Linked DNA regions of Lonchura striata. The protein of the gene in region 1 interacts with the protein of each later gene in a pairwise test. Links are inferred from orthologs where the notes say so. Each region holds a gene or a part of one and is shown on either strand. Other genes may lie near its edges.

Region 1 (7,972 bases):
CCAAGCTATTACATATATGACAGTGACATATATTTTTTAGTGCAATTGTCAGTCTAATAAGATTTCTGTCTCAACAAATTTACTCTCACAAATTCTACCAGCTGTGCTCCTTGGACATTGGGATAGGTAGCTGGGATTAAGAGGATGTTTACTCCACATCTTACTAATGACTCCACTGTTTGAGTTAGTTTACCTTCTTTATCTTATCTTTCATCAAAACACAGTTCTGTGTTCATGATACCATAAAGTGTCTTACTCTTAGAGTGCTCTGAATTTTAACATTCAGTCACAAAAGGGAACATAAAATGAAACAGTACACCTTTGGGCCTGATATCCTGGGCAGGAAAATAAAAAATTTAGTCATTATATAAATTACAAAAAATGCTATCTTTCCTTCAATTTGTTCAGTCTCTACCACGTCAACCAGCGTACTATGGAATCCGATTAAAATACAGATGAGACTTCACATGACCGTAAATTCTAAGATGCTATTTCTTAACAGTGCTTCCTAGTTCTTGGAGGTAAACGTGGTAAAGGCAGCAGTGTTTCCCAGTGTTGTTCACACACTCATGCTCCCTGTGTTCCTGCAGTGCCAGTCCTAGCAGGCATTCTGGCTTGCAGGCCCATTTACCGAGTGTCCTGCCAGCTCCCACGGCTACGCGGACGTGGGGGAGCTGCAGGTGGCCTTTGACACGCTCAATTATGTCTGACAAGGAGACTGGCTCGCTCAGGGTGCACAGGCGTCCCATTCCAGTATGGGGAAGAAGAGGCTGAAAAAAATTTAAATTACCGTGAGAAAGTTGACTCCATGTGCTTTCCACACTTTAACAGGATGAGTATATTTGGTTTGCAGGAGCAACACTGAACTTTACAAAAAAGTATTTATGTGATGTTCTCAAATGTAACATATCAACTACACCAGCTATTGGAACTGATTTAAGAATTAGTACAGACCACATAGATAGTTTCATTGCTTTGGAAAATGTGTGTGGCTTCAAATTCCCGTATGCCTGTATGTCGGAGCACTGGGGTAGCACTGGAAAGCTGTGATGCCACTGACTACTGCATTCAGCTCACACAAGTAATACATTCACAGGAAGTAATTTTGTGATTTTGTTACCTTCTGTAGTAAGAGAATCTCGGTCTTGTGATAAAGAAGGCTGTTCTGGGACAATAATGCCACCACCTCCAGCAGTGCTTTCTGAGAGCAGTTGAGACTGACTCGTGTTTGCTCCTGACCTTCAACCCTGAGGAAAGATATGCCTGGTGCTTGTTAAGAAGCTAGATAAAATTTTGGAATTGTAATTACTATATTAGAGTATTATAATTATTAGTTTTGGCATTATAATTATTATTATTTTATCCCAGTGGCTGTTCTAACACTGAGAAAGGAAAAAAGGCAGCATTGTAATAGCCTAGACTTGTCTTGGAAAAAACAAATATGGGAATTTAACTCACCTGTCCCGATCAAATTTCTGGTTAATACTCTTTTTTAACACCCCTAATCTATGTGATGCTAAACTGGAGTTGCTATTACCTTTTAGCATGACATAGATTGACCGGAAAGGGACAACTATTCCTTAAGATTGTTATTCAGTTGCTGAAAAACATAGCAGCAATGCACAGAGGAACAAAATTATTAGAACAGTAAAATACAATTACAGCAACTTATTGTTTCAAATAACAGGAAGAATACAACATTAGAGAGTGGAGCAGATACCTGGCTGGGAGAGTAGTGAGACAAGAGATCTCTGGGATGTCTTTGATTTTGGACAGCACTGCATCCAGATGCTCAGCATCTGCACAGAATTCTACCCGGTGAGTGCCCTCAGCTGGAGAGCTTGGTGCAGTTGATGGATGCAGTGGGACAGAAGTACAGGTGCCTGAGAAAACAGTACAAGATTGCTGGTTTATAAAGCAGGGTAGGTATCCTAACACTGATTTGGCACATACCTTATAGAGATGCAGCACAAAAGGTACAAATTTTGCACTCAAATCCTTTTTTCCTGACTAGAACTGAGGCTTTTCATTCTGTCTCCATTAGGCACAGTCTGTTTTAAGTCCAAAGATGGATATGTATTATCTGCCAGTCTCAATGCCATCAGTTTTATCCTAAGGATTGTCCAAAACCAGAAGGAGTTCCTAGTTTGTATAACAGACTGGAAAAGATGCAGCTATTGTAATCTGTGAGCCACAATACAGGATAAAAATCTAAAATAACTTCACATAGTTTAAATGCTTTGCAAATATTGAGATCTCATACTTTCAAGGTGGTGATTTAAAGTCATTGGTATCAGAATTGCAACTACAGTGGACAATATATATGCGCCACCAGTTACAGACACATCCAATAGTAGAGTCATACATCTAAAACTATTATGTTGTTATCTGGTATATACCACCAAGAAAAATGTCCTAAAATGTATTTAAGGTTACAGTACCATAAAAATATTAGGAAAAATAAAAACAATCCTCAAATCACACCTGTAAAAGCTAGAAGGCAAATGATGAAAGATCCCACTTAAAATAGCATACATCTTTAATAATTTTAACTTGTTTGCTCTTAACAGAATCTCACCGAGTCCCTTTGTTAGCCAGTTATTAACTCCGTGAGGTATGGCATCGTACGCCGTATGTGGAGAATAAATCCCGATTCTGTTCTCCAAGGCTCGGACCACCAGCCGTTCCTTCCAGGTTTTCCACGTTATTCGCTTGAGTGGTGCGAATATAGGAGGGTGGTAAGAAAGAACGAGGTCTGCTTTCCTCTGCACTGCCTCTTCCATCACCTCCTCAGTGAGGTCGTTAGTGAGGAAAAGGGTGTTCACAGTGTGGGGAGGACTTGGTTCCACCAGCAATCCCACATTGTCCCAGCTTTCAGCCAGAGCGGGGGATGCGAAGTCATTCAGAGCAGAAACGAGCTCCCGGAGGTTCATGAGGGCGCGTACGGGCGGGCGGCCCAAGGCACAGACGCGGTGGAGAGGCGGGCGGAGCAGCGGCGGCACAGACAGCAGCATGCGAGACCTGTGCGGGGCAAACAGGCCGCCGTGAGCCCCGGGAACCCACCAGGCAAACAGCAGCCACGGCCGCTCGGGTTGTGGACGCTGCGCCCGCCCACCCCCGGCACCACCCGGTACCACCCGGTACCACCCGGTACCGAGCCCCTCCCCACCCCGGGGCTCCCGCACACGCCGCCCCGCTGGCCAGCACCAAGCGCGCGGAGCTCAAGCTCCGCCCCTCTTCCCGCGGCACGGCCGACCCGCAGAGCCCGGCCGCACAGGCGCTCCCTCCTCGGCGGCCTCGCTCACCTCCCGCCGGGGCAGCGCCGGCGCGGCGGGGCGGGACCTGCGCTCGGCTCCGCCGCTTCCGCCGTGCTCAGCGCGGCTGGGGCGGCCCCTCGGTAGCGCCGGGAGGGAGCGGAGGCCCGCGGGAGCGCCGCCGCTTGTCCCCGGCGGGGGCTGGGTCCGCGTCAGCCCCGGCAGGTTCAGGCGTTCTCCGAGCGCGGCGGGCGGCGGTGCCGCCGGTGGAGGAGCCCAGCTGTTCTGTGCGCGGCATTTCGGTGGCGGTACCTGGGCAGGGAGGGAGCGGTAGCTCCGGCTGCCGTGGGTGACGGGGAGCGGGGACAGGTGGGTTGAGGTGGGGACACGGGACCGGGGCTTCACCGGCGAGGGCGGGTGTATAGTGAACCTATTGTCGCTTAAATATATATCTCGGCTTCTATGTAGCCGCGCTTTTATTGCCGGCATTTTAAACACTTTAATTGAAAGTATTACAAAGTTAAAAAGTCTGATCCTGTGGTTGCGTGCAGGTACCTGTCTGTTTCAAGCACTCACAGCTGTCATGAGTTGGCCCCAAATCACGCATCTGTTAGGTAGTGGCATGTGGCTTTTACCTATGAATTTCTGCCATCTGCTGTTCTGCCGACTGCCACAATACTTGCAAAAACTGATTGCTTGGTATGAATTTTCATCCTAGGAACGAGTGTTTTTACCCTCTTCCCCGTTCTCTAAGTGGTCTTGTTCTAGTAGTTTTTCATTTTTTCTATGCTGTGTAGTTGCTCAATGCAAAAATTTAGCCACAGAGTCATTGGAATGGCACCCTAGAACTGTGTGGTGGAAAAGCATGTAACCAACAAATATTTTAGAATCAAAACCATATGGGGGTTGGTAGGAAAAAACCCAACAAAGTTCTTATGTTTACAGGAAGTTGCTGTATAGAAGGCTACCTCAGATTTTGATAAGCAGGCATGGTAAGAATAAAAGCACATTTTATATGTTTTCTGAAATGGTCATCTCTTGGAAAGCGAATAGCTTCTCTCCGTCTCAAAGGATTACACGTTTTACTCTGATGCTGTGAGTAATTTTTCATGAAAAGTTCAGGGTTTTCATTTCAAACTTATAAAAAGATACTATGAAAAGGAAAATAGGTTGATTTACATTAGTCTAACACATCATTATGCTTTCACTTTAGAGATCCCAGATTTTAATGCTACTTTGGCATGTATTTGATAATCTAGTTTGGTTTCTTTTGCCACAGAAGCATTAGTCTAGTTGCAAGAACATACCTCTGATTCAGTGTATGTAAACCTCTGTGCTCAGAGGCTTTTAAAAAGTTAGCAATTTGAGAAATAGATATATATGTCTTAAACTGATCATACACCTTCTATAGGATCTTCGTGGACATTGTGGACAGCTATCTCCTTTACTTGTATACTTTTGGAGCAGTATGCCAGTATCAATGTGATGCTGATTTTAATTAGTTTTGCTGTACAGCTATCCCCACAGTAATTGTTTTTGCATAGTTTAGCACTTTCCATAGAAGCACTGTAATATATATGTCCTGTAGAGATAAATTTGCTTACGTCACTGGGTAAGCTGATTTTAAATTTTATGAAGGTAACTTACTTTTCTTAAGAACTTATAAGTTAAATTTTGAGATTTACTTATCTGTGAAGGCACATTATACATTCTGCCATTCAGAACTAGCCTTATTAATCAAAAGGCTGCAGGCATCAGTTGCTTCTCTAGTTGTAAAGCAGCGCGGTGTGTGCACCATCCAAAATAGATACAAACTTGATTCTTCACCTTTACTTTCAAGTGACTGAGTAGGCCCTGAGTTGGCAAATGAATAATGTATTTCTGGAGTGGAGCATGCAACAGGTACTGCATTACCATGGCAAACTTGATTTGTCCTGAAACTAAATGAAACTGAGTGCTTTCTGGTGATTTCACTGGAAATGTGGATTGGTTGTGACAGTAACCTTGCTTATAGCCAAATGTTGAAACAGTGAAACTTGCAGTTTGCACTGCAAACTTCAATGCAGTGCAAACTTACTTATGTTCTTGATGGGACTGGGAAATAAAACAGTGTATGTTAGTATTTTATTGCTGATTTATTTACTGTTTTCTGCCTTTTGCTCAGGCTGTCACACTGCATACGGATGTGGGAGATATTAAAATTGAACTGTTCTGTGAGCGTACTCCAAAGACTTGTGAAGTAAGTCACACACCAGGAGTAGGATTGCCTAGTGGTGAAACAGCAGTAGCAATAGTCAAGCCTGTGAAGGAGGTGAAGTAGCTTTTGCAATTTTACCTTTTCATGTAATGGAACGCCAACATTTTAAGCTGGTGTAGTGTCTGTTCCAATCATGGAACTTGTGCACTCTGTCATACTGACTGGAGTTTCATGCCTGTTTCTCTCTTGATAAGGTTTAGTTAAGGGGTGCTTCTTTTGAAGTTCCAGCATCTCCCAAAGTGTCCTTTGCCTTTAAGGCAAAATACAGCACCCAGCCTAGGATTCCCAAATTTCCATGGGTTTACTCATATCCCCACAGACTTGATTTTAGTTTGAAAGAGTGAGACTCACGGTTTGTCAGGCACCCCAGTTTTGAATTTTTGCAATAAATTGAAATTGAAATAAAATGCATTTATTTTAATGAAAAAGCTGAGGCATTAAGTTATTGATTACAAAATTACATGTGCCAAATAAAATTATTGAATGGGAATGATATTTGAGAGAATGTCTTAGGCTTCTTGTTTGTTCCTCAAGTCAGACAGCCTTGCACTGAAAGCTTTGTATTCTTTGTGTGTGACACTATCAAAGGAGTTTATTATCTATGATTTGTTTATGACTACTCTGCAGCAAAAGTCTGTGGAATTCACACAAAGCAAGGCAGAGGTAAAAGCACTGGTCTTGCCAATGCTGTCATTTTAGTAAGATAATACTATTTTTCAGTTGTTAATATGGTTTGTTTGATTTTTGTAGAATTTCCTGGCTCTTTGTGCTAGTAACTACTACAATGGATGCGTATTTCACCGAAATATAAAGGGCTTCATGGTTCAGACAGGGGATCCATTAGGTAAATTCTTCTGTCTGGGTCTTTCTATGGAAAAAATGTACATAAAAATAAAATGTAAGGAAATAAAAAGGAATTATGGGTATTAAAACTAAAACGTAAGTAAAATAAAAATAAAAGAATTATTGTATTGTTGATAAGAGTTTTTTTATGATGAGGGGTTTTTTTTGTGGAGGGCTTACAGAAGTGCAGGCATTACCCCAGTTTTAAGTAATTATGCATTCTACAAACTTGAGTTTTAGCAGCTATTTTCACTAAATATGATGGTTCTGTTGACTAAATTAGAAGCAGGTACTAATGTGCTTTGTGTGGTTTCTGCCTGAAAGGCTGCATCTAAATCATTTGGGGAAAACGTCCCAGACGGTGTCAGCTGTTTGGGAGAAAAGCTGATTCAGTTGTGTCTGTTCATACTCATACTGAATTTAATTTGAGGATGTGTCAGTGTTTTGTTCTGCTACTTAATAGATTCCTTATATAGAGTTATGTCTTAGTGCAGTATCAAGAGCCTGCCTCAGACTAATTGCAGGCTGTCTGGACTCTTTGTTGTAAAATGCTGTAACAGAACAAACATAATTTCTGGGTTTTTCAGTCTGAAAATCCAGTAATTTCTACTGTGGTGCTTCTTTGTCAGGCACTGGGAAAGGAGGTAACAGCATCTGGGGCAAGAAGTTTGAAGATGAATTCAGTGAATATCTAAAGGTATTTATGTGCTCTCAATATGCACTTATGTTTTCATTTTAATTTTCTCGGCAATAATTTTCTCTTGGTTGGAGAACAATAGCTTATTATTATAATAGGAACAGGCATTTCTGTGCTTGGCAAGTGAGATTTGAGAGTTTTCATCACAGAAAGCAGAAGTAAAGAGAATTTCTGACAGCATTTTTCATGTAGTGGGCAAAGAAGCAGTTTTTCACTGTAAGAGCCATTCTGAGCAGCTAATTATTGACTGTGATAGAATATATTAGCAACCAAGATTTGTTCTTAATAATTGAGGAAGAGCTCTAAGTCATAGAGCACTTTGCCCAGGTTAGTTCTGGTTTCACAGATGTGTATTCATGCTGAGGTTTTTCCCCTTGTTCAGCACAGTGTCCGTGGGGTAGTTTCCATGGCAAACAATGGTCCCAACACCAATGGATCACAGTTCTTCATCACTTACGGCAAACAGCCTCACCTGGACATGAAGTACACGGTGTTTGGAAAGTAAGTGATTCAACTGCACGCCTCTGTCAGAGTGTGTGAGAGATCTGAGTATTTCAGGGCACATGCAAATGCTTGAACTTCTTCTCAGAGTCTGTCGTGGATGCTTAATAATCCCTTTCAAAGTACATTATTTGCCACATAAAATGTATTGGTTGTCTTATTTTGTATCATTTGCTTGCAAAGTCCCTGCCTTGTGATACTTGACTGTAAAATGTTTTGACACACATCAACAGTGAAATTTAAAGCATTATTAGAAGGCAATTTTCTTGTGTTTTTCTGGCAGAGTTATTGATGGCTTGGAGACCCTGGATGAGCTGGAGAAGCTGCCTGTGAATGAGAAAACCTATCGACCTCTTAATGATGTTCGCATTAAAGACATTACAATTCATGCCAACCCTTTTGCACTGTAGCCACAGAATG
Region 2 (7,104 bases), on another chromosome or scaffold:
GGTCCCCCAGTTCTTGAGGGTCCCCAGGCTTTGGGGGGTCCCTCACGCCTCGGGGGTCGCCGCCGGCCCCCCGAAAGCGTCGGCGCTCCGCGCGAACGTCTCGGCCACGAGCAGCGGGAACACGAGCGAGGCGTCGGCGTAGACCTGAGCGAGAGCAGCAGGGTGACGGGAGGGGAAGGAAACCCCCCAAAATCCCCCCAAATCCCCCCAAAATCGCCCCCCACCTTGACGGGCGTGGCGTCCACGCGGATCTTGCCCCAGGACACGGCCTCGTCCGGCCGCGCGCCCGAGTCGGAGCCGTCGAACTCTTGCGCCGTGTTGACGTAGACGGAGAAATCGGCGCCGTTCCTCTGCGCACACCCGGGGTGAGACCCCCGGCCCCGCCTCGGGGGTCCCCAAAAACCCCCTCCCCGTCGTTGGGGGGTCCCCCACTCTCACCATGAGGTTGGCGTTGGCGATGTGGTGCTTGACCAGACCCCCGCCCAGGATGATCATGCCGGTTTTGCGGGCGAAGATGGCCTGGGTGTTGATGAGGCGCAGGTCTGCGGGTCGACGAGGTTTCGGTGTTGGGGGGATTCAGGGAGCCCCTCAGGGCACCCCAAAATCCGGTGGGGCGCCCCACTTACCCTCCACGATGTCCAGCACGAGCCCCGGGCGTTTGTAGGAGTGGAAGAAGATCATGTCGCCCAGGGAGCCGTCGGTGAGCGCCGGGCTCAGCACCGGGATGTTGTTCTGCCAAAGGGGGGGGACGCGGTGACACCCCCCCAGTGCCCCCCAAATGTCACCCCAAAAGTGTCCCCCCCACCCCCCGGTACCTTCTGGGCCCAGTAGCAGATGGAGTCGGGGTTGTTGATCTCCTTGCCCAGCCGGGCGATCATCCGGGACGGCGTCCACCGCACGCCCTGCGGGGACCCGGCTCAGCAGGGACCCCCAAAATCCCACCCCGGGTGTCCAGGAAACCCCAAAATCCCACCCCAGATATTCAGGGACCCCCAAAATCCCACCCCAGGTGTCCAGGAAACCCCAAAATCCCACTCCAGATATTCAGGGACCCCCAAAATCCCACCCCAGGTGTCCAGGAAACCCCAAAATCCCACCCCAGATATTCAGGGATGCCCAAAATCCCACCCCAGGTATTCAGGGAGCCCCAAAATCCCACCCCAGGTGTCCAGGGACCCCCTGAAATCCCACGCTAAGTGTCTGGGGACCCCCAAAATCCCACCCCGGGTGTCCAGGGAACCCCAAAATCCCACCCCGGGTGTCCAGGGACCCCCAAAATCCCACCCTAGGTGTCCAGGGACCCCCTAAAATCCCACGCTAAGTGTCCAGGGATCCCCTAAACCCCACCCTAGGTGTCCAGGGACCCCCAAAATCCCACCCCAGCTATCCAGGACCCCCCCAAAATCCCCCCCAGCTATCCAGGTACCCCCTAAAGCCCCTTCCCAGCACTGTGGGGTCCCGATTTGGGGGGTCCCCCACCCCTCACCTGCGTGTCCTGCTCGTCCACCATCGTCTCCAGGATGGGCATCAGCCAGTCCTCGAACTTGCAGTAGTTATCGTTGGGCACCAGCAGGTTCCCGATCCTGAGGGAGCCCGAGGCCACCCCGAGGTGACCCTGAGGTGTCCCCGGGGTGTCCCCAAGGGGGTCCCAGCCCCCCACGCCCACCCCCAGGACCTGTTGATGCCGTTGTGCCGCAGGTCCCGGCCCCGCAGCTGGAAGTCCCCGATGTAGGTGGGCGCCAGGCACTTGATCAGGTCCTCCTCCACCCCCCCGGCCGTGGTCACCAGCACGTCCACCTGGCCAGGGAGGGGGTCAGCACCTGGGGGACACCTGGGGACACCCCCCTGACCCGCCCCAGGACCTCACAGAGACACCAGAGACACCCCCAGGACTTCACAGGGACACCAGGGACACCCCCCAGAACCTCACAGGGACACCAGGGACACCCCTGTCCATCCCAGAACCTCACAGGGACCCCCCCAGAACCTCACAGGGACACCAGGGACACCCCTGTCCATCCCAGAACCTCACAGGGACCCCCCCAGAACCTCACAGGGATGCCAGGGACCCCCCTGACCTCCCCTGGAACATCACAGAGACACCAGGGACACCCCTGACCATCCCAGAACCTCACAGGGACCCCCCTGACCCCTCCTGGAACCTCACAGGGACCCCAGGGACTTCCCTGTCCCTTGTCCCTGTCCCCATGTCCCCACCCTGTCCCTGTCCCCACACTGTCCCCAGGCTGTCCCCAGGCTGTCACCATGCCGTGCTGCACCAGGTAGCGGATGCTCTCCCTGTCCCTGTCCCCATGTCCCCATGCTGTCCCCTGTCCCTGTCCCCATGTCCCCATGCTGTCCCCATGTCCCCAGGCTGTCCCCTGTCCCTGTCCCCTGTCCCCATGCTGTCACCATGCCGTGCTGCACCAGGTAGCGGATGCTCTCCCTGTCCCTGTCCCCATGTCCCCAGACTGTCCCCATGTCCCCAGGCTGTCCCCAGGCTGTCACCATGCCGTGCTGCACCAGGTAGCGGATGCTCTCCCTGACGCCGGAGCTGACCAGGTTCGAGGTGAAGCCCAGGAAGATGGTGCAGCCCGAGGGCGGCCGCGGCCCGGCCATGGCCGCTCGCTCCCGCTGCTCCGCGCTCAGCGGCTCCAGCTTGGCCGCGATCTGCGGGAAGGAAGCCCCGGGAAGCTCGGGCCGAGCCCGGATCCCCGTCCCGGTACCACCGCGCCCCCATCTCCCGCACCATCCGCTCGATCTCCGCCACCGCCTGCGCGAAGCTCGTGGCCTGGAAGCCGGTGGTGCGGAAGGAGCGGAGCAGCGCCGCGTGGTCCGCGCCTCCCGAGAAGTCGTAGCCGCGCACCGGGAGAGCCTCGGCCGGGAGAGCCCCGCTGGGCCGCAGCACGGCCCGGAGCGCCTCTCCCGGCGCCTCTCCCGGTGCCTCTCCCGGTGCCGCCATGGCTCGGCCGGGCCCGCTCAGCGCGCCGCCATCTTGGGCCACGCCTCCCCCCCGTGCCGTACAGCCCCGCGCCGTACGGCAGCGCGCCGCCATCTTGGGCCACGCCTCCCCCCCGTGCCGTACAGCCCCGCGCCGTACGGCAGCGCGCCGCCATCTTGGGCCACGCCTCCCCCCCGTGCCGTACAGCCCCGTGCCGTACGGCAGCGCGCCGCCATCTTGCTCAGCCCGCCCGTCTCGCCTTTGCCGTACAGCCGCGCGCTGCCATCTTAAAAGGACGGCGGCCGCGGAGGGACGAGAAGGTGGCGGATGCGAAAAGGCGCCGTTAACACCGAGGGAACCCCGAAATTTGGACAGTGCCGAGGGGGAAAGGAGCCAGAACCCTCAGAGGACAACAGGACCCGCTGCAAAAAGATAGGGATGACATCTGTGGGCTAGAGAGCAACAGGAAGGGGTTTGGAGACTGAGCAGGCTTCCTTGAGTTATCTTTTCTTTTCTTTTCTTTTCTTTTCTTTTCTTTTCTTTTCTTTTCTTTTCTTTCTTTTTTTTTTTTTTTTTTTTGAGGACTATTAGGAATATTTAGGGGATTTTTGAAGGCTTTTTGGGATTTGTTACATCTTCCTAATAGCTGTTTTAGAATTCCTTGGTGTATTTTTAAGGTCAGGATGAGGGTCAGACGGGATACCCGCTGAAAATGCGGAGTATTCCTGGAATGCAGCGGAATGCTTCGGGAAGGTGCCAGTGGAGGGGCAGTGGGTCAGGTCCCATGGTGTGAAAGCTGTGATTTCTGGGACCAGTGGAATGGTTGTGGTTAGGGTTAGGGTTACAGGCTGGCAGCTTTGTCGAGGAGGGAGGGAGGGAACTGGGAGCGCTGGGAGAGAACTGGGAGCGCTGGGAAGGAACTGGGAGCGCTGGGAGGGAACTGGGAGCGCTGGGAGGGAACTGGGAGCGCTTTCCCTCCCAGCACCGCCCTTACTGGGAGCGCTGGGAGGGAACTGGGAGCGCTTTCCCTCCCAGCTCCGCCCTTACTGGGAGCACTGGGAGGGAACTGGGAGCACTGGGAGGGAACTGGGAGCACTGGGAGGGAACTGGGAGCGCTGGGAGGGAACTGGGAGCACTGGGAGGGAACTGGGAGCGCTCTCCCTCCCAACATCGCTCTTACTGGGAGCACTGGGAGGGAACTGGGAGCGCTGGGAGGGAACTGGGAGCGCTCTCCCTCCCAACATCGCTCTTACTGGGAGCACTGGGAGGGAACTGGGAGCGCTGGGAGGGAACTGGGAGCACTGGGAGGGAACTGGGAGCGCTTTCCCTCCCAGCACCGCCCTTACTGGGAGCACTGGGAGGGAACTGGGAACACTGTGAGGAACTGGGAGCGCTTTCCCTCCCAGCACCGCCCTTACTGGGAACACTGTGAGGAACTGGGAGCGAACCGCGCCCGGAGGCGGCAGTGGGCGGGGCCGGGGCGAGGGGCGGGGTTATGCAAATCCGATAGTCATCGCGCGCTGGGATTGGTGGGCGGGAGCAGCGCGGGGTTTGCCCGGTCACGTGAGGGGCGGGACGGGGTCGGAGCGATGGCGGCGGCGTCCGGTGAGGGGACCGGGAACGGGGACCGGGAACGGGGACCGGGAACGGGGACAGGGAACGGGGACCGGGAACGGGGACAGGGAACGGGGACAGGGAACGGGGAGCGGGACCGGGAACGGGGACCGGGAACGGGGACCGGGAACGGGGACGGGGACCGGGAATGGGGACCGGGAATGGGGACCGGGAACGGGAATGGGACCGGGAATGGGACCGGGAACGGGGACCGGGAACGGGAATGGGACCGGGAATGGGACCGGGAATGGGACCGGGAATGGGGACCGGGAACGGGAATGGGGACCGGGAATGGGGACCGGGAATGGGGAGCGGGAACGGGAACGGGAATTGGGACAGGGAACGGGAATGGAACCGGGAATGGGGACAGGGAACGAGGACGGGGAATCGGGACCGGGAATGGGACCGGGAATGGGGACAGGGAACGGGGACAGGAACCGGGAATGGGACCGGGAATGGGGACCGGGAACGGGGACAGGGACCGTGAATGAGAACGGGACAAGCGGGACACGAGGTCGGGATTACCGGGAACCGGCCGGGGTAGGGTTAACGGGTCCGGGGGGACACGGGGACAGCGGTGACACCGGGCACAGTGGGTCCGGAGTGGTGACACCGGGCACAGGGCACACCAGGCAGGGGGTGACACCGGGCAGGGTGGGCACCGGAGCGGTTACCGGGCACAGGGCACACCAGGCAGGGGGTGGCACCGGGCACAGCGGGTCCGGAGTGGTTACCGGGCACAGGGCACACCGGGCAGGGGGTGACACCGGGCACAGCGGGTCCGGAGTGGTTACCGGGCACAGGGCACACTGGGCAGGGGGTGACACCGGGCAGGGCAGGCACCGGAGCGGTTACCGGGCACAGGGCACACCGGGCAGGGGGTGACACCGGGCAGGGTGGGCACCGGAGCGGTTACCGGGCACACCGGGCAGGGGTGACACCGGGCACAGCGGGTCCGGAGCTGTTACTGGGCACAGGGCACACCGGGCAGGGGGTGACACCGGGCACAGGAGGTTGGGAGCGGTTACCGGGCACAGGGCACACCGGGCAGGGGGTGACACCGGGCAGGGCAGGCACCGGAGTGGTTACCGGGCACAGGGCACACCGGGCAGGGGGTGACACCGGGCAGGGTGGGCGCTGGAGCGGTTACCGGGCACAGGGCACACCGGGCAGGGGGTGACACCGGGCACAGCGGGTCCGGAGCTGTTACTGGGCACAGGGCACACCGGGCAGGGGTGACACCGGGCACAGCGGGTCCGGAGTGGTTACCGGGCACAGGGCACACCGGGCAGGGGGTGACACCGGGCACAGCGGGTCCGGAGCGGTGACACCGGGCACAGGGCACACCGGGCAGGGGGTGACACCGGGCAGGGTGGGCACCGGAGCGGTGACACCGGGCACACCGGGCAGGGGTGACACCGGGCAGGGTGGGCACCGGAGCGGTTACCGGGCACACCGGGCAGGGGTGACACCGGGCAGGGTGGGCACCGGAGCGGTGACACCGGGCACACCGGGCAGAGGGTGACACCGGGCACAGCGGGTCCGGAGCGGTGACACCGGGCACACCGGGCAGGGGTGACACCGGGCAGGGTGGGCACCGGAGCGGTGACACCGGGCACACCGGGCAGGGGTGACACCGGGCAGGGCGGGCACCGGACCGAGGTGACACCGCGGCTGTCCCCAGAGACCGAGCGGCTGCTGAGCCGCGGCCCCGGGTACGGCACGGCCGAGGCGGCGCCGGTCCCGGGAGCGGAGCAGGAGGAGGAGGAGCAGGAGGAGGAGGAGGAGCTGCGGCGCCGCCTCAAGTATTTCTTCATGAGCCCCTGCGACAAGTACCGCGCCCGCGGCAGGCGGCCCGTGAAGCTCGCGCTGCAGCTGGCCAAGATCGTCCTGGTCACCGTGCAGGTGGCACCGCGGGGTGGCACGGGGACAGCGGGGTGGCACAGGGGACAGGGAGAGGGGACAGCGAGTGGGGACAGTGGGGATGGCAGAGGGGACAGCGAGTGGAGACAGCGAGTGGGGACAGCGGGGTGGCACAGGGGTGGCACAGGGGACAGGGAGAGGGGACAGCGGGGTGGCACAGGGGACAGCGAGTGGGGACAGCGGGGTGGCAGAGGGGACAGCGGGGTGGCACAGGGGACAGGGAGTGAGGACAGCGGGGTGGCACAGGGGACAGTGGGGGTGGGCAGCAGGGATGGCCAGTGGGGACAGAGGGGAAGGGGCACGGGGACTTGGGGACAGCAGGGACAGTGGGGATGGCAGCACAAGGGGCTGGGACAGCAGGGAGGGGACACGGGGACATGGGGACACTGGGGAGGGGGCATGGGGACTTGGGGACAGCAGGGAGGGGACACAGGGACATGGGGACACTTTGAAGGGGACGCCGGAGTGTCCTGGGACAAAGCGTGGCAGCGTCACCGTGGTGGGACAGGGGCTGATGGCAGCGGTGGCCTTTGTCCCCAAGCATGGGGTGAAACACGGTGGTGTCACCAGGGTGGGACAGACCCTGACCGTGGTGGCCTTTGTCCCCAAGCATGGAGTGACACTGT
Region 3 (7,505 bases), on another chromosome or scaffold:
CACGGTCACGTTCCGCGGCTGCGGACAGCGGGACAGCAGCGCGGCACTCCCGGCACACGCCGGCACCGGGTCCCGGCCGTGCCCGGACACCGGCACGAGGCGACACGAGGGGACACGAGGCGACACGAGGCGACACGAGGCGACACGAGGCGACACGAGGCGACACAGCCCACGGCCGCAGTCCCAGCCCGCTCCGTCCCTCCCGGCCCAGCCCGGCGGGGGCTCCGCTGGCCCGCGGCTCCCAGCCCGGAGTTCCCGAGCAGCGGGAGCTCAAGGCAGGCAGGCGAAACTCGCGGCAAACAAACACAGCTCGCCTGTTCTTATCGCTCTCCCCACGCCAAACGCAGCCTCGCCCCGTCTCCCCCACCCCGCATCCCCACCGAGGGTTCGCAGCCCCCGGCATCGCGGCTCCGGGACCAGCGCAGAGGAAGCCGCGGGGAGCCCACGCCCGGCGGGCTGGGCAGCAGCCCCGGCCCCGCCGCCCCTCCCGAGCCCGCTCGTACCTCTGGGCAGGGACATGGCGCTGTGCGAGCCCGGCGGGCCCGGCCCCAGCGGCGCCCGCCGGTCCCGCCCGCCGCGGCCCCGCCGGCGGCCGCCCCGCCGGGCCCGCCCCCGCGCCGCCATTGGCCAGCGCCGCGCCGGGGGGCGTGGCCAGGGCCCCGCGCGGAAACGGCTCTGCGGTTCTCGGGCGCGGCTGTGAGGGGGAAGTGAGGCGGGCGGGTGCTGCTGCCCCTCAGGAGAGGTGGCCTCGGTGTCGCCGTCGTGGCCCCGGGGACGCTGCCCCGAGAGCGGCGACACTGCCGCGGGGTTGGGGCGCCGAGCATCCCCCCCTGTGCTGCTCCTCGGCCCTCACCTCCTCTGTCAGCTGAGGGTGGTCACTCACGCCTCCCGTGGGTCCCGCGTGCCGTGGGTGCCAGCGGCGTGTCCGGCTGGGAAATGGCCGGGGAGCCAAGGGAGCGGCCGGAGCTGTGTCAGGGGGGTTTGGGCTGGATATCAGGGAAAGGAAATTCCCCCCAGAAGGTGACCAGGCACTGCCCAGCCTCCCCAGGGGATGGGCACAGCCCCAAGGCTGCCACAGCTCCAGGAGTGTTTGGACAACGTTCCCAGGCATAGGGTGGGATTTGGGGGCCTGGAGTTGGACTGGATGATCCTTGTGTGTCCCTTACAGCTCAGGATGCTCTGATTCCATGGTTAATTCCTCCCTGAGTCACTGAGGAATCAACCCCTCCCAGACGTGGCACATCCTGGGGTAAGGATGCTCCCACAGCCACCCGAGCTGGGCTGCAGGCAGAAATGCTGGATACGATGTGAGAGATGCAGCTGAAAAAGCAAAAAAAATGAGATTCCAAGTGCCATTTTCTGGCTGGAATTCTTCGTGTGATCCATAAAGACCAAAGGAGGAGTTGGAGGGGTGGCAACTGCTGGCAGCACTGGTGAGATCGCAGCTGCTCTGCCACAGCCAGCTCTCAGCTTTGCAGAGAGTTTGGGATAAATCTGAGGACTGGAAAAACCTCCTCAAAGCCAGGCAGTAGAAGGGATTCGCTGCCAGAGGGAAGGAGCTGCAGGAGTTGGGATCTGTGGCTGCACGGGTGCCTCAAGCACCAAAGGCACCAGATCCAGCTGCACACTGAGGGTGGAAGAGCTCAAATGCAACATCAATTACAGGTTTTTAGCGGGGAGAGCAATTACCTTCCCCAGAGAGGTCGCAGATTCGCCACCTTTCAAGTCTTTCAACACAGACGAGGAGGAGTCTTTCCAAAAAAGCCACTGCTCTGCAGCCCAGCCGCGGGTCAGCAGCGCTGATGCAAGAGCTGTGGTGTCAGTGCAGGGCTGGGCCAGCTGAGGGGCCCTTTCTGACCTTTATCCACACGGATCTTGGAGCCAGCAGCGGGGTTTGAACTGATCCACACAGCTCTGGGCTGAGGCAGTGCTTGGGTGTGAGTTTTGGGGGGTCTGTGGCAGAGCAGAGCATCACCAGCTCTTTTACAAATGGGGAGCTGTGGGACCGGCTCTGACAGCTGGCCCTGCTGCTGGCAGCACCTGGGGTGTCACTGCGAGCTTGGGGACATGGCCCTGCTGTCCCCAAATGTGCACCATCCCCCTCCTGCATCCCTGGAGGCTGCTACATCCAGGGCTGGATGAAGCAGTGACTGGATTTGAGTCTCTGGCTCTCAATCCCAGGGGTGAGAGGGGACACACAAGTGTCACCAAGGCTGCCAGGCCTTCCAGCACAGGAGCTCTGCAGGGCACACAGGGAAATTGGGAGCACTCAGCATCCAGATCCAACAGGGTGGGAAGGCAGGGAGCACACAGACCCCCACGAGCTGTGAGGAAGGCACCAGAAGCACCCTCGAGGTCACCTCCCAGCCATGGTAGGGCTTGGGGATCTCCTGGGGGACCTCTCCACCTCTTCTGCAGCTTCCCATGGCTGCTTCTGCCTGCCCCTCCTCGTCTGAGCCGCTGTCCCAGGGAATCAGCACAGGCACAGGATCCCCATGGAGCCCGAGTGCTCACAGAGATTTTGGCAAGTTTTGCTGCAGTTTTGGCACCCATGGAAAGGCTCTCCATGCTTTCAGGGGCTGTAGGTGAACCTTTGGCTCTGGGTCAGGGCGATCACCGAGGGCAGTAAGGTGTTACACTGTGACATGAAATAACTCACAGAAGCAGGTTGGATGTAAAAGGAAAGAAAAAATAACTCAAAAAAGTAAACTTTATTTTCTGACTCTACTATATATACATTAGCAAAAATGGTAGTGGATTGGAGGGTGAAACTGCCACCTCTCCAGCTGCACTGGTCAAGCTAACAGTCTATAAATTCTCTCCACCCACAAAGAAGAATGTAAAACAGTTATTATTTACATGAACATGTGTGAGAAAACTCAGTAGAAATATGTAAATATTAGAAGGCATAGGAACTTTTAGAAGAACTTTAAAACTCTCCAAAGAACAGGGTGACAGTAAGGAGTTGCTCACCCATGTCTGGGCAAAACCTGCTTCTCCTTCCTCCTCTCTCCTAAAACTTCAGCCCTGCTGTGTCCTGAGCATCCCTGTGTGCTGGAGGGCATCAGCCCTCCCTGACAGCTCTGGGATCATGCCAGTTATCCCTCCCCTTCCTCCCTGCCACACGCCAGCCGTGCTGGGCCTGGCTGCTGCAGGCTTTGCATTCCCTGCGCTCCCCTGCTGTTTGTGCCTCCCTGCAGCAGCACACAGCTGCCAGGGAGGGGATGGGGTGAAGGACAACACCTCCTCACCAACATTCATGGAGAAGGAAGGGAATTTACCCCTCTGCCCAGCAGACACCCAGTCCTTGGGGCCAGGCTCGATGGGAGCGGGGAAAGAGCAGGAGACCAGAGCAGAAAACCAGTGCGGGGCCAGTAAAGGACTGGTAAAAAACAGTGCAGGACCAGTACAGAGCCACTACAGAACCGATGTGGGGTCAGTGTGGGACCAGTACAGAACCCGTACGGGACCAGCACAGAACCAGTGCAGAATTAGTGTGGGACTGGTACAGAACAGTACAGAACCCATGTGGGACCAGCACGGAACCAGTGCAGAATTAGCGTGGGACCAGTACAAAACCAGTGTGCAATTAGTGCAGGACCAGAACGGGACCAGTACAGAACCAGTACAGAACTCGTGCAGGACCAGTATGGGACCAGCACAGAACCAGTGTGGAATTAGTGTGGAATCAGTGTGGGACCGGTACAGAACTGGTACAGAAACCGTGTGGGACCAGTACAGAACCAGTGTGGAATTAGTGCAGGACCAGAACGGGACCAGTACAGAACTAGTACAGAACCTGTGCAGGACCAGTGCCGAACCAGCACAGAACCAGTATGGGACCAGCACAGAACCAGTGTGGAATTAGTGCAGGACCAGAACGGGACCGGTACAGAATCAGTACAGAACTCGTGTGGGACCAGTATGGGACCAGCACAGAACCAGTGTGGAATTAGTGTGGAATCAGTGCGGGACCGGTACAGAACCAGTGTGGAATTAGTGCAGGACCAGAACGGGACCGGTACAGAGCTAGTACAGAACCTGTGCAGGACCAGTGCCGACCCAGCACAGAACCAGTATGGGACCAGCACAGAACCAGTGCGGAATTAGTGTGGGACCAGTACAGAACCAGTGCAGAATTAGTGTGAGACCAGTGTGGGACCGGTACAGAACCAGTACAGTTACCTGTGCGGGACCAGTGCCGAACCAGCACGGAACCAGTGCGGAATTAGTGCGGGACCAGCGCCGAACCAGCACAGTACCAGTGACAAATCTGCACAGAACCAGTGCGGAATTAGCACGGGACCAGTACCGAACCCGCGCCGTTCCGGCGGCCGCTGGTGGCGGCGCCGCCCGCGCGGGGGCGCCTGGGCTGCCTGCGGTCCCCACGGCGGCGTTGGCGTTGCCCCTTTAAGGGCCGCGCGGCCGTACCAAAACAAAAGCGCGGCGCGGCCATTGGCTGCGGGGCGGGCACGTGCCGCACAGCTGGGGCTTCCTGCGGCCGCGGCCGCGCCGGGCCCGACCGCGCCTCGGCACCGGCACCGGCACCGCCATGGCGCACTCCGCGCCGCTCGGCCTCCTGGAGCAGGGCTGCCCCATCCAGGTGGAGCACGATCGCAAGCGGCGGCAGTTCACCGTGCGGCTCAACGGTAAGGGGCGGCGCTCGGGGCTCCCGGGACGTTACCGCTGCCCTCCGCCCTCCGCCCCGGTCCGGCCGCGCTGGCCGCTCCGGATCCCCGTTCCTCTTCAGCTCTCGCTGTTCCCCCCCTTCGCCCCACCCCACGTTGTCTCTCCCCCCTTTCCCCTCCCTGTTCTTCCTCCCCGTTGCTCTCCCCTTTTTTCTTCTTCTTCCTGCCCCTTTTTCCCGTTCTCACCGATTTCCCCCGTTTCTCCCGGTTCCCCCTCCTGCCGTGCCGCTGAGTCCCGCTGCATTTCCCCCGTGCTCTCCGCCCTGCCGCGGTGTGACCCCCCGCCCCAGCCCTTCCTGCACCCCAAAACCTTCTCGCAGGGGATGCGGCATCGCTGGGCTCCCTCGCTTGGGGTGTGTGTGCAGCCCGGTGGGGACACGGGCAGCTTGGGGGGCACTGCCCCGGTCCCCCCGGGAGCAGGTGCCTGCGGGGGATGTGGGGGTGCTGGGAACCGGGGCCCCTCTGGGGATGTTCCTTCAGGGAAACCCCAGCACGGTGGGTGCCGCGGTTCTGTAGGACCAACGACACGGATCCAAGCTGTGACAGCCACCTGTGGAGCTCTGGTGACACAGTGACCCCCAAAAAGTCCGTCACATATTGGGTGGAGTGAACAAAGAAAAAAAAAAAGTAGGTGCCACTAAAATTTCTCTGTGGTGCACTGATTCTTTCCCAGCCTTCATCTTAATGGTTAATTACAGATAGTCAACGATCCCGGCATCTCTTTCCCATCCATTTGTCATACTGAGAACTACTCTGGGTAAAACTGCCTCGCTGCCCTGCAGAAATTGCAGGGTAGCTGCCTTAAAAAAAAAAAAAAATAGCATGTAGTTCAGAAATCATAGGGAATGCAGGAGGCTTCGTCAATAAAACAACAAGAATAGTCCAGATTTTATTTTAGACTTCTCTTTCCCCCCACCCCATTTTCATTTCAACCACTAATTACAAAGTGCAGGCTGGAGGCTCGGCAGTGGTGGAGCAAGGAAGGAGGAGACAGTGCAGAGAAAACAATTTCACCAACTGCTTATTTCAGATTTCAGCCTGAGATCAAACGAGATCCCAGGTGCTGGGTCCCCACTGCCACCATCAGAGCATTGTCCCAGCCAGTGAAGTTGGTGTCTGCAGGAAATAGAGGGGACAGCCAAGGGTCAAGAATTATTAGGGAAATGTAATCTTTTATCGTGGTTTTCTGGATAAAAGCTCTGCCAGCCACACCATGGGCCCAGCAGCGTTTGGTGGCTGAGCAGGGATGAGTCGTGACTGGGGAGGGTGAACTTTGAGAGGGAGAGAATCAGCTGTGGGAGTTGTGTGTGAATCAGCACAGAAACTTCTGATTCAGCAGGGGGTCATGGCATCACAGAATCCCAGGATGGTTTGGGTTGGAAGGATCCTAAAGCTCATCTCATTCCAGCCTTGGGCAGGGACACCTTCTGTGTGCCCAGACATGGGCCAGGTTGCTCCAAGCCCCATCCAGTGTGGCCGTGGGCTCACCCAGGTGAACCCCCATGGTCAAGGTTGTGTTTTTTCTGGGAGTTCAGGGAGTCTGAGTCCTTTTTTGTGAGTTCAGCCACGCCAGGCAGCTGAGCTGAGCAGTGTCCTGCTGTGATGGTGGCCGTGCTGCTGTGCTGACTGACTAACATCCACGTGCAGTGGGTGATCCACCTCTCCTCCTCCTTGTCAGGCACTTGCTGGTAGCAGCCAAGCCCTGGAAGCTGGTCAGGAGATAACATCTCTGTGGGAGTGCGTGGCAGGGTGTTTGTTTCCTGCACTGCTCTTTGTTGCTCCTGGCACGATGAGCATCACTGGTGTGGAATGCCCTGGGAGGTTTTCCCTGCAGCAAGCAGGGAATGACAAGAAATGGGTCAGACACAGATTTTAGCATCAAAGTGACCTCCATGTCCCTCAGAGAGCACTCTTGTCCTGTGTCACTGAGCTGTGGTAGAGATGAACAGCAGTTTGTGGGCTTTCAACTTTCCTGTGATGTCCTCATTTCTGCTAAATGTCAAGTGTGGATGATACCCTGGGAAAACATGGATGCAGCAGGCACCAAGCAGCCAGACTTTGACAGCTGGTGGTTTATGGTGGTGTGATGTTGGGTAGAAAACTTTGCATGGTGATGAATTTCTGGAAATCCCTGGAGCAGGAGGCCTGAGATAGTGAAAGCTGTGAACTGCTTGTGAAAGTGTTCGTTTTCAGCATCATCCTGTGCTTGCCTCTGTGCCCCTGTGTGACCTCGTGGCAGGACTTCCTCCTTGTGCACAAGGGAGATGAATTGCACTCGATTTTTCTGGGGCTTGCCCTGTCTTTCCTTTCCCTGCTGGTTCCTCCCTTCTCTCCCCTCATTGCTGCAGTAGCTGCTGAAACTCTGATAGGAGCAGCTGCTTCACTTGAACACGTTCCCTTTCCCCTTGCATCCCAAATGAAGGAGCATTTAGAAGCTGAAAGTAAAGCTGATTATAACCAGACCTCACTGAGCCTCGTTATCCCTGGAGAGGAAGGCAGAAAGACACCCAACTGGATTTGTAATGGGCTAGGATGTGACTAACAGCCTGAGCCAGCCAGAAACCTCCCTGTGCAGAGACTCTCTTGGAAAACATCAATTTGTCAAAGCTAAAAGCTTCCATGGGAATCATATAGGCTGATTTTGTCAGGAATAGTTGGGTGTTTCTTTGGCTCTGAGACAAAATTTCAGGTCAAAACAAGAAACCCAAAAGGACCCCCCATGCCAGAGCAGTTGGCTGGTTGGTGCAGCTGCTGGCACAGATGTTTGGGGCAGGAGAAGAGCTTTTAGCAGCAGCTGCTGTCACTTCTTGATGCCCA
Region 4 (7,649 bases), on another chromosome or scaffold:
TGAGTCCTGGGGCCTTTGGCATCTGCCTCAGACTGAGGTGCTTGTCAGCTGGAAAGCCCAAGCATGGCAGGCTGCCTCCCCTAGGTCAGCCCTTCCCAGAGCTCTACAATCTGGCCCAGTCCAGTCAGGACTTCAGGCCTGGCTTCAATCACAGAGGTCAAAACTAGCTGGGATCAGGGTCTCTTGGGTTTCCATCTCTGTTCTCAGATATTGAAACCAGGTTAACATGACTCTCTCTTACCATGTACCTCCTTGGTTGTTTCAGCCAGGATGTTCAGTGAAACCGGAGCTGGGATGTAATGAATCCCTGTCAGAAAACCTGGTGGGATGAACTGATGCAGAGGAGTGTAGTATCCTTGAGAGAAATCTCCAGCTCCATCTGGAACCTGTGGAAACACATGAAGCAGATCACTTTGTATCTAAAGACTCTCTCCAGCATACATCTGCATTATCAGACCATTTCTGGGTTTTTGTCCATATGCTGCCAAGTCAGTGCACATATTGACACATGGAAAGCCTGTGCTGCAACTGAGGAGCAAGAACTTCTCAGACCATATCAGAGGAAAACTGACCCTTTTAAGTCCTTGTCACCTGTTCTAGCAACTCATTGGAGTAGTTGGTTTAAACCAGGAGCAGCCATCTTCTTTCTCAGTAGCCCCTAAAACGTGTCAGGGAATTTCAATACAAGCATCTATTGGGTTTTTTTGTTTGTTTTGTTTGTTTGTTTGTTTGTTTTGTTTATTGTCTTGATTTTTTTCTACCTTAGCATCAACTGATGAACTGTACTGAAAGCAGGTCAGATTATTAACATCATCATTTGCCAATGTATCAATGGTATCAAAATAGTATGAAGTAACTGATAAGGGAAATGACTCTTCATGGTTACTTCAACAGAGAGAAGGCAGCTAAAATAAAGCAGTATTAGCACAGGTAATTAAAAGCATGCTACTCACTGATACAGTGGTTGCATTCCCTGGCACATAGCTGCTAGGAATGTGTCGGAATCCTCTCTGAAGTGATATCCCTGGAGGTGATGGTGCTTCCCCACTGCTTGACTCATTGATGGCAAATCCCAGGGGAAATGGGTGGTAAGGATATACCCCAGAACATCCCGGGTACACTTTTGGGATTTCTCTCTCCAGGTATTCTGGGTTGACAGTGTATTCTGGAGGAAAAGCAGGCTGAGCTAGGAAACAGTGAGAAAAGAACAAATAAAATTATCCATGTTATTTTATGGAGTTATGTAGAAGTAGCTACAGGAAAAAATTGCACTCTCAGACAGGAGAATCTGGTCCTTTGGTTTCATGTTTAGCTCCCCATGAATTGATTTTGTGATTTTTTTAATGAACTAAGGAAAGGTACAGCAGATGACACTGTAATGCAGTTATTCTGCATTATTTTCTGCGTTGTGTGCTTTGAAGTTTGTCCTTAGTAAAGCACTGGCTGCAGAATCTTATTCTTTCAGTACATCAACAGGAGCAAAACAGCCTACCTAAACTTTTGATTCTAGTGGTACTTAAAATTCCACAGAAATAGCCGAGTTCTAACTTTATAGCATTCTAATATCGCAGTCCTATCTGTCACTTCTTAGGTTAATTTACAGCACGCACAGTTTTAGGCTCATACACAAACAAATCTGAAGCAGAAATCAGTTACTTCACTTTTTTTCTTGAATCTTATTTTTATTACAAAACAAAGCTAAAAAGGGTAACAGTATTCTCTTAGGACTACGGATGTCCAAAGTAAGTCTTCTCAGGACAAACATTTTGTCTTGCAGTCTGGCAACTCTCCAGAGTCTCAGATTCATGACTACTGCCATCAGTAAGAATTTCTGCAACATTCTTATAGTAATAGAATGGAGTTACTATAATAAATTAGAAAAGTCACAATAAAGACTCTAAAGGAAGCCATTTAAGAGATGACAGACCATACAACTGCATGCCCTGCTATTAAATACCAAATGCACTTTTACATCAAGTTATCCCAACCAAATTTAGTTTTTGTTACAGGTATGAATTAAGGCAAAAAGGTCTTTTTCTTCTACAGTGCTAGCATGAAATTCTTGCTACAGACAGCTGCAGCAGTTACTGTACCTATTTACATGCCATCACTGAGCTTTTTAGCATTTTTGCTGCTGTAATTTTGTGCCTGTGAGTTTATAAACACTGTGACAGCACTCAAAGAAACAAGCAGAGCAGATCCAGTTTTGCTGCACTCCCAGATCAATCTCCCTCTCAGTGAAAAGCCACTTTGCTTAAGCTTCGAGCTCGCAAGGGGCGGCGAGGCTGAGCACGTTGTTCCCGCCCTGCGCCCCGCGCGAAGCCATCGGGGGCGGACGAGGCTGCAGAACCGACATGCCAGCCCCGTGCCCTCCGGGGAGGGAAAGCGGGACAGAATGCAGGAGCGGCTCCCGGGCAGCCGGAGCCTGAGGAATCAGCGAAATGCACAAGTGGCGCCTTTGACAGGGGAAAGCGAACAGCGGGAGATGCTGGGAAAAGGCTCTGGGGACAGGTCCTTACCGTCCTCCCTGAAGGCAGATGGCGGTGGCCCCCAGCATGCCGTGCCCTTGCCGCCGCTGTCGGGCTGGGCGCCCGTCTTCCTCTCGTGGCTGCAGTGCTCGGGGGCCCCGTCCTCTCGGGCAGCCGCCCCACGGCCCTCGCCCGACGGAACGGGCTTCGCGCCCGCCCTGACCGCCGGCTCCGTCTCCTGCTGCCTCAGCGCCTTCTGGGCTGCCATAATCTTCTGCCGCTCGGTGATGAGCGAGCACTTCTCGCACAGGCACAGCTTCCAGGGACAGTGCCCGGCGTGGCCCTTGACGGGCACCACGAAGCCGTGGTTGCGGCAGCGGGAGCACTTGGGTGCCCGCAGCGCCTTCGCCTTGTCCTCGGCCGCCTCCATGGCACCGCAGCGACTGCCCAGACCCCCCGCCAGGCCCTCCCCGCCCTCTGGCTTTATATGGGACAGGGGATGTAACAAGCGGGCCCGGCGGGCAGGAGGGCCCATGGCAGCGGGTGGGGAGCGCGCCGGGTCCCGCAGCCTCCCTGCCCTGCGCCTGGCACGGCTCCCCCGGGCACCCCCGCGGCCCTTTGGTGCGGGCGGCAGCCGAAGCCCAGCCGCGGGGGGCTGAGCCTGCGGGAGCTGCGGGGGGCACGTTGCTCTGCGCTGCTGCCCGCCGGGGTGGGGGGTTTGGATGGACCCGCTGTGCACGGATAGAAATGCCATGTCCCTACAGTAGTGCCCTAAAAGATAATTTTCCTTTTTGGCACTTTAACATCTGCACCCACTTTCATACCTCTCATGCATTCGGTTTTAATATGCATGGGACTGCTGTCCCGTTTTGTTTCCAATTTGCAGCATGCTTCTCTTGATGAGGAGGAGTGACTGCCTCAGCAGAAAAAGAACACTTTGATCATTCTGTTTTCCAAAAGAAGCTACTAAGACAAAGGTAGAAAGCATATGTCATTCCAACGACCTGTCTCCTTTTCTCAGAATTCCTTATTCTCTGGAAACAAAGACAGGCTTACAGTTAGAAATACAGGAATGCTCCAGTTCTAGTATTGCTTTGAAAGCACTTGATATTTGTTACTGCTGGTAGCTGCAAACCCGTGATTTACACAATAGCCCATTTCAGGAGAAAACTCCTCATTTTGCAACGTAAGGCACTACACTGCTAAATTTTCTTACCTATACAACAGCTGTTTTAAAATCTTAAGGTGGCTATAGCTTCTATGTTAAAGAGAACACGATAAAAATTAATCACCAAGTAGTAGACACTCTTTCTACTAAGTTTCAAGAGAGCCAGGCAGAATCTATCTGCTTGCTCTGGAACAATTCTAACTGCAATGGAGTTTGTTTCACAAACCTGGCAGAAGCCCTTCCCTTGGTGCAAAGAATCCCGGATAGCCTTGGTGCACCCTTCAACACCTTGGGGGGTGAGGCCCCAGCAGAGCAGGCCCCTTAGGGATTTGGCAACAGTGTGGTTTGTCAACAAGTCTCTTTTTTGCAGTAAGCAGCCAGCCCCTGTGCCCACCAAAGCTCAGACGAGATTCCAGGCTTCTCACTTTGCAGAAGACCCAGTAAGACTTTGCACCTAAGTCCTGCAGGTTTCCAGTAGGATTTTGCCAAGGCCTTGATCTTCCCGTACTCCTTCTAAACACGGACTCTATTACATATAGACAGATAAAATATTCTTAATTTTATGCTCCATATTTTTACTGTATGCTTGGGTTGTGCTAATTTAGCTGTAGAATGAAAGAGGATGGATGACACATTTTAAAAAGCTGTAATTATATCTTTTCATAGATACCCAATCTGTGTTCATTTGGATACTTGAGCAGAGGGGGAGAAAGGTAGGCTACATGTATTTTCCCCAGTAATTTTCTGTTCTGAGTCACATAATACTATTCTTCAAGACATTTACTCAAATACACAGTAATGTATCCCTTCTCTTTCTAAAATGGCTTACCAGCCATGGGCTGTTCCAGTTTCTTCACTAATTAAACAATTGCTTTCAAAGTCATGTGGATTTTCATTTTGAACAACTTTCATCTAAACACTCAAGATTTATTATAGTCTCCATATAGTTTGTTTCAAACATAACTACACTTGCTTTTTGCAGAAAAGTGAACATTTTGCTTTGCTTGTGAGGCAAATCCTTGTTTTTGCAGGCAGTTCAGAGAATTCTGTTACTCCAATCCTGTTATGTTTTTGTATATATATTTGAGTTAGCTTAATCACACTGTAAGAAGACCATAGCAGAGAGAAGATAGAACAATTTCTAAATACACTTTTGGAATGAAGTGTAGATTTGTGTTTGGATGCAGCTTCATGTCTATTATAATTTTCTTACTTGTTCATATTTGAAAGAAAATGAGGCCCAATAAAGACTCTTCAAAACTTAGTTTTCTCTTGCATTTTATGTAACATATGGTGGGAGCAGAACATAAAATGTGTAAAGAATTGTGTATTAAAGTAACATTTATAAGAATTATTATCATGCCAACATGAAAGGAAGGCAACTTGCTGACTTTATGTTATTGAAACAAATAGCAATAATATCTCTAGTCCTGTCCAACTTCTGAATCATATAAAGTGTGTGGTTTTGGTGTGCAGTTTGCTTTGTACATGGAACAGTGAGGAAAAGCAATGACTTAGCTAAAAGGGAACAAATCAAAAGACTGTCATAAAAGTGAATAGCAGGAAATTAGGGTTTATTTTTTTTCCCCTCCTTCTCAGACTTTCCAGCTAATATTCATACAATAAATGTTTTTTGGCAAGAAAATTTTTCTGTGGCAAGAAAATTGTTCTGGCATTTCAAGCAACAGAAACTTAATCAAGAAATTTGTTCAGTCTGAGATCTCCATTAATAAATATTTCCACACTTGGTTTGAAGTACATTTTCTTATACATAAAAAATCAAGACTATCTTTCAAATTTTTAAGACATCACATATGAAGGTTAAATCCTCTATTCAAAAATTACCTTTTTATCATTGTAGTTTTGAAGTATCCATTATGGACTGTCATAAGTTATGATATAAAAATTGATATAGTAGTACTACTACCAGGTCTTCTCCATTATAACTGTGTAGTTTACAACTCAGCTAGGGCATAATCGACATGTGGAGATACAGCTGCAGAGGCAGAACTGCCCATGAAGAACTCTCACCTTCACCTGTCCCAGAATATCATTTTAAGAAGTAACATATTTAGCATCCTCATAGTTAGAAGCTCCTTGTAAAAAAATATGAAAGAGTTTCAGACATGCTCTGGCTGACCTGCAGTACCAAATCCCCTCTCACTGCTGTGCTCACAGCAGCACACATCCATCAGGGCTGCCACAGAGCTGCAGGGCTCAGCTCCCTGCTGACAAGCCCACGAGGTTGGCTGAGCCTGCCCAAAACAAGCCTACATGACAATGAATAAACTTCTTCCAGGCACTTCTGTACACTGTATTTTCAACTTTTCTAATCAGAGTGAAATTGTACTGTAGTAAACTTTGTTTTTTTTTTTAATGTGAGGGAAAGTGCAGCATAGAAACAGTGCAATATAATTATATCCTAGCTACCTTAAAATTTGAAATGGATGAAATGTGTTTGGATTAAACCTTTTTTAAATCTGGTTGCAGTTAAGTTCTCTAAATTGAAATACACAGATTTTACTTTTCAATTCTATTTCAGCATCAATTCCTTTATTTTAAAATGTTGTCTTCTGTAGTGCAAGAAGGAGTTCCACTGAGGTGTGTGGGGTTTTATTGTTGTTTTATTTGAAACAGTTTTAACCAGAGCACAATTAGATGTTGACTTTCATCTGCTGTATCAAAAAGGTGAAATTCTCTGCTGTGATCAGAGAAAATTGGATGGAGTTTATACATATTTTAAAGTCTTAAAAATGTATCAAAGTTATATAAGCACTTCTGGTTTCTTTAACAAACACAACTAAAATGAATCTTGAGTACTTAAAATTGAGTATCTTTTTTACATATAACAGTTCTTAAATATTAACAGCAGAGACTTTATTAGAAACACTGCTGTTAGTTTATTGTAACAAGATCTTTATTTAAGAGAAAAGAAAAAATTGATTAAACTGGTAATTCTGTGATCTGGATATTTCATGAGTTCCAGAAGGGTGGGGTGGACTTGGAGAGAAATGAACACCAGCAAGGAAACCAAACACGTAGCAGCTCTTATGAGAGCTCTTATATGAGAGGCATCAATATGCCTTTCATATAAGCAAGAAATAAAATGCATTAAGGGGAAAAGAGTGAGACAGACATAAGTACACACACACACACAAACACAAACACAGGGATGCTTTTCTCAAATAAGTGATAATGTTTAAAGATCCCTATCTAGAAAAAAAAAAAAATAGATCCATGATAAAAAAAATCCTGTGGGAGATGTTCAGTCAGTTTGCAATAAATAAAGATCACTGTATCATTGAAGTCTGATTGTTTGCTTATTTTCCATGTCTAAGAAAATAATTATCCCTTCAGAAGAAATCTTTTGTTTCTATAGAAGGTCACCTTTGTAGGAATAAATAGAAAAAAGAGTAACTGAAAACCCAAAGGATAGTTCACTTGGATAGTGCTGTGGCAGCTGCAGGGGTGCCTTAGTTACAGCACCATTTTACTTCAGTCAGCTCCCAAATTTAGTGACTTTTATACTGGATAGCACTCAGCTTGTCAATCAGTCTTCTGCCTAGAGAAATAAACACATTTTTAATCCAAAGTCCTCATTCTCCTTCCCCTCAGCCATAGTTCTTGTCATATTATCTTAGACACAAAGAACAGAAAATCACATTTGAATTCTCCCAAACAGCAAAAAAAGGATTTCATGCAGAAACAGTCACTCTCTCCACAGTAAGTAGGTGGCCTGTTTAGAGTCATCTTTGTTTGGCACCTATTTTGTGCTGAAATTGTCATATTACCTTGTCAGCAAGCCTAAAGCAATGCTAATAGATGGATAAGGCAGGAGACAGCTGAAAGACCACTACAAACATCAAGTGTACTTGCTGTGGGCAGGATTCCATTTGTGATTGTCAACACTGGTACATATCCCACATTTTCTAAATGCATTTCTCCACCTCACATCTGAATTGGATTTCAGAGTATCTGAAGTAACTTAAACAATGCAAAATAAATAAAACCAT

Evidence for each region.
Region 2: the proteins of NIF3L1 (region 1) and DHPS interact in binary tests that used the Homo sapiens proteins (3 or more experiments, as listed by UniProt). The two-hybrid records come from large-scale screens. The link is inferred for Lonchura striata from reciprocal best matches to the Homo sapiens genes NIF3L1 and DHPS.
Region 3: the proteins of NIF3L1 (region 1) and NATD1 interact in binary tests that used the Homo sapiens proteins (3 or more experiments, as listed by UniProt). The two-hybrid records come from large-scale screens. The link is inferred for Lonchura striata from reciprocal best matches to the Homo sapiens genes NIF3L1 and NATD1.
Region 4: the proteins of NIF3L1 (region 1) and DMRTB1 interact in a two-hybrid assay, tested with the Homo sapiens proteins (2 studies listed by BioGRID and IntAct). The two-hybrid records come from large-scale screens. The link is inferred for Lonchura striata from reciprocal best matches to the Homo sapiens genes NIF3L1 and DMRTB1.

Annotation. Positions count from the first base shown.
Region 1 is NC_134610.1:27,187,835-27,195,806, forward strand, and holds the start of NIF3L1 (NIF3-like protein 1), read right to left. Parts: upstream 3,015-7,972; coding exon 2,579-3,014; intron 1,884-2,578; coding exon 1,721-1,883; intron 1,248-1,720; coding exon 1,121-1,247; intron 771-1,120; coding exon 632-770; intron 1-631. Other genes in the region: PPIL3 (peptidyl-prolyl cis-trans isomerase-like 3), read left to right, coding at 4,244-4,246, 5,419-5,493, 6,262-6,355, 6,984-7,051, 7,434-7,552, 7,836-7,962. UniProt on the Homo sapiens protein: May function as a transcriptional corepressor through its interaction with COPS2, negatively regulating the expression of genes involved in neuronal differentiation.
Region 2 is NC_134623.1:1,585,658-1,592,761, forward strand, and holds the start of DHPS (deoxyhypusine synthase), read right to left. Parts: upstream 3,012-7,104; 5' UTR 2,963-3,011; coding exon 2,750-2,962; intron 2,671-2,749; coding exon 2,509-2,670; intron 2,296-2,508; exon of another isoform or gene 2,268-2,295; coding exon of another isoform or gene 2,265-2,267; intron 1,798-2,264; coding exon 1,676-1,797; intron 1,584-1,675; coding exon 1,487-1,583; intron 903-1,486; coding exon 816-902; intron 733-815; coding exon 627-732; intron 543-626; coding exon 439-542; intron 351-438; coding exon 225-350; intron 145-224; coding exon 43-144; 3' UTR 1-42. Other genes in the region: MCOLN1 (mucolipin-1), read left to right, coding at 4,531-4,546, 6,240-6,460. UniProt on the Homo sapiens protein: Catalyzes the NAD-dependent oxidative cleavage of spermidine and the subsequent transfer of the butylamine moiety of spermidine to the epsilon-amino group of a critical lysine residue of the eIF-5A precursor protein to form the intermediate deoxyhypusine residue.
Region 3 is NC_134618.1:15,096,599-15,104,103, forward strand, and holds the start of NATD1 (protein NATD1), read left to right. Parts: upstream 1-4,495; 5' UTR 4,496-4,552; coding exon 4,553-4,649; intron 4,650-7,505.
Region 4 is NC_134611.1:9,254,841-9,262,489, forward strand, and holds the start of DMRTB1 (doublesex- and mab-3-related transcription factor B1), read right to left. Parts: upstream 3,004-7,649; coding exon 2,520-3,003; intron 1,187-2,519; coding exon 954-1,186; intron 387-953; coding exon 242-386; intron 1-241.